Linked DNA regions of Ovis aries. The protein of the gene in region 2 purifies or fractionates together with the protein of the main gene of each other region. This does not show direct contact. Links are inferred from orthologs where the notes say so. Each region holds a gene or a part of one and is shown on either strand. Other genes may lie near its edges.

Region 1 (3,812 bases), about 98 Mb from region 2:
TCTTCATCAACTGTGCGCCGACGTCGGCCTCCAGTGCTAGGAGTGGGTTGGGCTGGCGAGACCTGTTGCCCAGAAGGAAGAGGAGTTACTTGAAGGGAATGTCAATCCTTTCCAAATTAAACCTGATGTAAGATCTGGCAAAGATCTGGTTAAAGGATCTACCAGCCTCTGTCACCACAGCAAGTCTCCTCGCTATGTCCCTTAGCTTCTCTTCTGCAGTAGTTCCTCATTCTGCCTCCTGTTTCCTTTCAGTCTTCTCAGTTCCATACTTAGACAAACTACAGTTCAGTTGGAAACTCTGATTATTTCTGAGACAGACAGACAAAAATGAAACTAGGATCATTTTTTGTTTCTTAACAGTAAATATGGTGGGCAGGGAAATTATAATCAGAAGTGTCAGGGGAACTTTCAGGGAGACTGTGGAATGAAAAATTGGAGAATTACTGATTTGGCCAAGCAAAATAGACAAACAACTGCATGCTGTAAGTTTCAGAAAAGGAGAAGAGAATTTACCATTAATGAGATACGAGCTATCATGGAAATATATGAATTAGCATTTTTTTTTTTTTGCTGTACCACGAGGCTTGAGGGATCTCAGTTCCGTGCTGCTGCTGCTGCTGCTGCTAAGTCGCGTCAGTTGTGTCCAACTCCGCTCGACCCCATAGATGGCAGCCCACCAGGCTCCTCTGTCTCTGGGATTCTCCAGGCAAGAACACTGGAATGTGTTGCCATTTCCTAAACCTGGGCCATGGCAGTGAAAGCCTGGACTCCTAACCATTAGGCCACCAGGGAACCCCTAGTATATTCTTTTTATTTGTAATCAGTTATTAGTCATCCTCAACAATGGCCCTGCTTCCTGCTTTGTTTGTTCTGTTTGTTTTTAAAGAGAAAAATATTTTCAAATCCCTTTACAAATTGGTGATTTAAGACCATCTTTTTTTAATTTTTTAAGGTTCTTATTGAACTTATTACAATTTAGCTTTTTTAAAAAATGTTTCTTTGGTCTCGAGGCATGTGGAACTTAGCTTCCAGACCAGGGATCAAACCTGCACCCCTTCCATAGGAAGGTGAAGTCTTAACCACTGGACCACCAGGGAAGTCCTCGAGACCATCTTTTTTTAAAAAAAATATTTATTTATTTTTGGCTGTGCTGGGTCGTTGTTGCTGTGCTTGGGCTTTCTCTAGTTGTGGTAAGTGGGGTCTATTCTCCAGTTGCTTTGTGAGGGCTTCTCATTATGGTGGCTTCGCTCGTGGAGCACGGGTTCTAGGGTACTCGGGCTTCGGTGGTTGTGGTGCACGAGCTCCGCTGACCCATGGCATGTGGGATCTTCCCAGACCAGGGATCAAACTGGTGTCCCTTGCATTTCAAGGTGTATTCTTAACTATCGGACCAATAGGAAAGCCCTTATCTTTTGTTTTTAAACTTAAGGCTGATGTCTCTTGTTTCTAAAGCACTTTTGAATCATCTTCCTTTTCTGTTAGCTGGTATGTATTCAAAGAAAAGAGACCAACCTTATAATAATGGCCAAAATTAAAATATAGAAAGGTCAGCCATCTGTATAAAAGAAACTATGTAATGTAAAACAATGCCAAAAATGAATTCTTCCTGAATCTGTTGCTATTAGAGAACATCTATACTGGTAGTTTCCAAATGCCAGAGCTCAAATCAGTTGCATGAGGATAAACATAAACTCATAAGAAAACAGAATCTTATTCTACTTCAGGCCCTACTGAATCATAGTCTCCAGTAATATAGATAATGAAGAGATAATTTTAATTATTCAGATTATTAGTCTCTCCCCCAAAAGAAAAAAAGCGGAGAAGAAATTTCAAACTCATTTTAATGAGCTACAGGCCTTGGGGTTGCTGCTTCTCACTGTACTAAGGGAAGTTTACACAGATTCTCTTGTGATTTTCAACTTGCTCTTTGTCCCGAGCTCACTGGTGCACACGTAAAGACTGGTGATTGAGGAGGAGAATGGGGAAAAGCAAACGATGGATTCCTATTCTCTTATAGGCAACTTAATAATACATGCAGGGAACGGAGGTAAGAGAACAGACCAAGAGAAACTTGGGAAGAATAAGGAGAAAAGGAATTAGTGGTAACTAAAAATGAAGTCATGTCATTTCCTCAAGGGGAAGCAGCACAGTTTGGGCAAGGGGGCTGCTGCTTTACCATTTTTAGAAGGGACTGGCATCAGAAGGGGTTACAGGAAGGTGGGCAGGCTTAGCTTCTAACAAGAAAACTCAAATGAAAGCTTTCGTTGTTGGCCAAGCTTTAAGGCAGCATATGGTCATTAAATGTTAGGACATGTGGTGGTAACTGATGAAGCAGGTGATGACATCAGGAAAAGGGGATGGGCCAAAGATGTAACTCTACAAACTGATATCAGGTTGTTGTCACCTAACCAGTACAGACAAAAAAAAAAGGCTTACTTGGTTTCCAACGAAACTTAGTAAAACTGAGGTCTCCTTGAAACAAAAGAATTGGGCTTCTAAAGTAGATCTCTCTGGCTTTTTTAAGACTTTAATTTCTCCTGATAAAAAGAGATTAAATTGATAAGGAAAAAGTGTTTTTCAGGGTATGTGTTTGTTTACTGAGCCATCTTAATGCTGTGACATCATATTTTATTAATATATTGTTAGTATCTGATTTTTGTATAATCAATTAAGTTTTTTGGGGGTTGGTGGGGGTTAAGACAGGAGAGACTAGAGACTTTGTTGTATAAAGTAGCTTGAAATGAGGTTCTGTCACATTTTAGAGGGCACTGCAGATAGAGCACTCACATGTAGAAATAATAAAAAAGTAGAAAACAGAAACTGAGACCTCCTCTGTGGCAGTTCTGCATTACCCAGTCTGCTTGCACTTTGTCTAACAAAAGGATGGATAAAACAGAGTGCATTTTGCTACTGTCACACTGTCAACAAGAAACAAAGTACAAGTTGAAGCCCAGAAGGCTGAAATCCATTCCTCCTTCATTTCCCTGCTCCTTGAAAAAACAGACATGACAAAGAGTAATAGCGACAAGCTGGTGCCGCCATCCAAGGGTCTGCTGACCTGTGGCTGGGCAGGGGATGGGGCGTCAGGGTGCTGGATGAGGATCTGGCTTTGCTCTGGACGGGCTGTCACCATGGTGCTGGCAGTCCCCACCACCATTCCACAACCACCATTGATTGAGGAGACCTGGTGGGTTAGGGTAGCTTTTAGTCTCTGTGGTAAAAGATAAGAAAAAATAGCTTGTCAAGGGTGAGATTTTATTAACAGTGAGAAAAGTGGGCTTAGATTTTATTACTGGCCTTACAGACAAAATTCCCACACTGATTTTCCCTTAACAAAGGGATTAAAAGAAAATGACATAGAGAGAAAGAGCGCACATGACCCCTAAAATACCTACTCTGTTCCCTCACTATCATCCTGGGCACAGTTGGAGGGTGGGGGTTGTTGAAGCGATAGAGTCCAGATGAAAGCTCTACCCTGGAACCTGGCCAGGGGCTGGTTATGCAGTTATTCACCTCTTGGCCAGCTCTCCTGCCCACTCATCCACCCTCCATCTGTCACCCTGGAACTGAAACAGCAAGAGTTCCATCCAAACAATCTGTGCTGCTTCTTTTCACTGCCATTGCCTGTGTACCAGGCTCTAAAGGTGGCAGAGAGGAGATAAGAGTCATGAATCAGGGTCTATTCTTCTCCAGACCCCGCAACTGGGTAGGTCTTTTAGCTCTGCAAGCCCCAGAAGATACCACTTCTTTCAGAAGGGCCAGCATTGCTCCAGGTTGGGATGTACTCACCATCTTGGCTTCTGATGGCATAG
Region 2 (3,812 bases):
TCCCTGAAAGGTTAGTGGTGGGGAGGGCTCTCCAGGGTGTCTCCCAGGGAGTGCGGATCACTAACGGATCTGCCCCACCTGGCATCGGAGAGCTCCCACTCCTCCTCCCGCCTCTAACACCTCCACAGGCCACTACTACGGGCATCCCAGAATTCACCCAGTGCACATTTAAGGCCCATGAACAAGGGCTCCGGGATGGACACAGGGAAGTGGAAGCAGGAGAATGGTAGCTGGGAGGATTAAATAAAATAATAGGATTTGCAAGGCCATTTCGATTTCCAGAGCTCCAACCTGGCTGCTCAGTGCAATGACCACTGACACAGTCCACCTCATCTCCTCACTTGGAAAACATTCCACCCAGGAAGAGTCAGTCCTGGCTCTGGGTTTCCTCCACATGGCCCCTCCTGGAGGGCTGGACTCTGGAGGGAGTTACGTGATGTCGGTCAGGTCAAGGTTTGGGGCGGGAAGGGCGGGGCTGAGAGCCCCCAGGTGGGGGCAATTAGCCAGCGGGGGAGAATGACTCATAGGGCAGAATGAGGTACCAATGAGGTGACAGCTTCAGGCTCAGAGCAGAGGCGGGGAACCCTCCCGCCCACGGAGGATATGAGAAAACCCCAAGATAGCACAACTCAGCTGCCTATGATCCATACCCATGAGCCCCAGGGAGCGCCAAAACCCTGCAGAGGTGGAGAAGCCCAGAGAACCAGACAGCTGAAGCCAGGCTGGGCCCACTCCTGCCGGCGGCAGGCAGGCAGGCATGGGGGTGGCTGGAACCTGGGAAGAGGAACCCTGGAGGGGGCAGGCCTGGGCCTGCCTGGCTGCTGGCTGGCAATGGCGACACCCTCTGCCATCTCTCGCCCAGGAGCCCCAGCAGGTCTCAGCACAGGATCCTTTGGGTGCTGAGGTGGACAGGGTGCCAGGCCCAAGAAGCTCATCCAGTTCTCTCTGGGTCCAGGCTGGACGATAAAGGCCAGCTCCCTTCTCCCCAACCTGCCCCCCCAACCTCCCGCCTTCAAATCAGGGCAGGACCGACCCATGTGCTCAGAAGAAGGAATGCTTTTGCCCACACTAACTCTCCTGTCAGTCACTAGGGGTGAGGGAGGGAGGGGAGAGGGCCGGGAGCCCTGGGGTCCCAGCTCCAGCCCACCCAGGAGTGCGCCCACCCCACGCAGGGCTCCTCACCGCCTGCAGCTTCTCCGTCAGCTCCCGGCGGCGGTTCCGGCACTTGGCTGCAGCCAGCTTGTTCCTCTCCCTCCGAATTCGACGCTTCTCCTCCTCTTCAGGGGACAGCTAGAGGTCAGGGCCAAGGATCACGGTTAGGCTCAGGTGCGTGGCTCACCAAGATTTTCCGCTTTTAACCGCATTGTAAGTAGGGGAAGAAGCCCTTCTGGGACCGGGCAGGGAAGGAGGAAGGCAAGAGGAACGTGGTTCAGGGGCCCCAGAACATGTACCTCAGCCCAGGTTGGGTGCCTGGGGGTAAGGAGGAGCACTCCGAACTAAACCCCAGCCCCCAGCAGGGGATGTCGCATGTTTGAAGGGAGAGCAGGACTCCGAACTAAACCCCAGCCCCCAGCAGGGGATGTCGCATGTTTGAAGGGAGAGCAGGGCAGCCACGGGTCGGAGACTCACCAGCCCAGGCATGGCGGCAGCATGTGTCATGTCAGCCCTGACTCAGTGCCAAGACCCGAGGGAATGAGTAGGGGCCGTTCCCCAGAGTCCCCATGCCCGTTCCCCAGAGTCCCCCGTGCCAGGCCTGGCCCCACCCACTTACGCAGCTTCCTCCCAACTCGGCCTAATTACTCCTCCCCAACACTCTGCCTGCTCTGCAAGCCTTATTATCCCCACTTGATTACGTAGCTGGGCCCAGAGTAAGAACCACCCGGGGCTGCGGGGGGAGGCATGTTCTCTTGCCAGAGGGCGGGAGGGAGGGCCACCCCACTCCAAGTCCCTCTGCCAGCCCTCGAGTGCTAGCTGCTGGCAGTTCAACCCAGAGGACTCACCAGTGTGCCTGGCACAGTGCTGGATTGAGCAGGATGGGCAAAAAGGAGGAGGAGCCCTGGAGCAGGTTAGAACCCTGCTGTCCACCACATCTACTCATTCAACCAACCAGCCCTTCAACATACCAGGCATGGTGTGAGGGGTTAGAGATTTGTCAGCAAACCAAATGAACAAAAATCCGCCTGCAGAGCTTATGACCTAGCTCCTCACCAGGAAGCTGGTTAGGGGCCTGCAACTCAGGCCAGAGGGCAAGAACTCTGCCCCACCAACAGGGATGACACTCCGTTTACATAGAGCCCTTCCAGAGGTGATGTGAGTAGATGGCCGTGGGCCAAGGCAGGAAGGAATTCAAAAGGAAAGACCCCCTCCTTCAGGGATCACCTGGGACAGCACACCATCTAGGTGCCAAGTGATGTACTGGGGGCTTAGAAGATTCTGGGGGCAGTAAGGCCCAAGTCCTCCCCTCAAGAGACATGTGGGGAAAAGGCCAAAGCCATTTTTGGAGGGGCTGAGAGAGAAGCCGCCCCCACTGAGGGATGCTGTCTGGACCTCCAGCCAGCCTGCAAGTGAGGGAGCCACTCCCCGGGCTGAGTCCCCAGGACGCTGCCTGCAGAGCAGGGCATAGCATCACTGTGTCCCTCCCTAGCACCATCTGTCCTTGCAGCAGCCTCCACGTGGGGCGCACTGACCTGAGCCCATCCAGCTGGTAACATTACATTCCTGTTAGTCTTCAACCCTCTTACAAAGGCCTGGTCTTCGAGCCCACACTGGATCCTGGCTCCACTTCCCTCCTCAAGCCCCTGCCCCACCTCCCCGGGAAAGCTGATGGCTCCATGGTCTCTCTCCGGAGAGGTGTCGGGTGGCTCAGAGTCAGATGAAGATGTGGCTCTTCTGGGTGGACCCAGACAGATTACTGACCCTCCGAGCCTCAGATCCTCATTTGGAAAGTGGGGTTAATAGGACCTGCCCCGCCTCCCACAAAGCTTCTGCAGGGATCAGATGAGACGCAGTGTGAGAGTCCTCTCTAAACCACAAAGTGCTAGAAAGAAGACGACATAGTCCAGAGGTCTCCTCTCTGATACCCTTGCTGCACTCACTGAGCAGCAAATCAACCAGACACCCAGAGAACACAGATGGGGGCACCCTATTCTCTGTGGGATCACAGAGGATCACAGGCTGAGGTCACAAAAGGCCACTTGGCCAAGGCCCTGAATACCTGCCGCTCCAAAATCCATATCAGCCTGAGCCCGAGAGGGACCAAGAGAGCCTGATGGCCCTGTTGCAGCCCCAGGTTCAGGGCTCAGCATCAAAAGGCTACCAGGGCTCCCCTTGAGGCCCAGCTAGCACCCCGCTCCCTCACTGACAAAGGGCAGACAAGACAGAGAGCTGGTCCTGATCCACTTCTGCTTCCATCCCCCCTGGACAGATTCTGGCCTCCCCAGTACCTTAGAAGTTTCTCTCTTCTAAGAAGTGTCTGGTGAGGTACAGGGCAACTTGTGGGAGCGCTTGGCATAGGAAGTGTTCAGGGGCAGTGACAATATGGTTACAGCATGAGTGTGTCACACCACCACGTACCCACCCACAAGCCACACACACCCTCCCTTCCCTACCACTGCTGGCCTCAGAGGGAGCCTCTGGGGCGCCCCGGAGGAGGCAGTGAGGCACCAGACCAGCACCATAACAGCCTCTGCCCCCTGGGGGAGGCTGGGAAGGCGGAAATGAGCCTCAGAGAAAAGACCCTAGAGCTAGAAACCTGAAGAGCCAAGTTCTAGGATGCTGCTCCCTAGGCTTCCTCCAAGCTGCCGAATGATGGT

What was found.
Region 1: the proteins of FOSL2 (region 2) and cyclic AMP-dependent transcription factor ATF-7 purify together in Homo sapiens (affinity purification with mass spectrometry; 3 studies listed by BioGRID and IntAct, counting the BioPlex papers as one, with this or other methods). This does not show direct contact. The link is inferred for Ovis aries from reciprocal best matches to the Homo sapiens genes FOSL2 and ATF7.

What each region holds. Positions count from the first base shown.
Region 1 is NC_056056.1:132,984,429-132,988,240, reverse strand, and holds part of cyclic AMP-dependent transcription factor ATF-7, read right to left. Parts: coding exon 3,790-3,812; intron 3,212-3,789; coding exon 3,059-3,211; intron 63-3,058; coding exon 1-62. UniProt on the Homo sapiens protein: Stress-responsive chromatin regulator that plays a role in various biological processes including innate immunological memory, adipocyte differentiation or telomerase regulation.
Region 2 is NC_056056.1:35,358,232-35,362,043, reverse strand, and holds part of FOSL2 (fos-related antigen 2), read right to left. Parts: intron 1,291-3,812; coding exon 1,183-1,290; intron 1-1,182.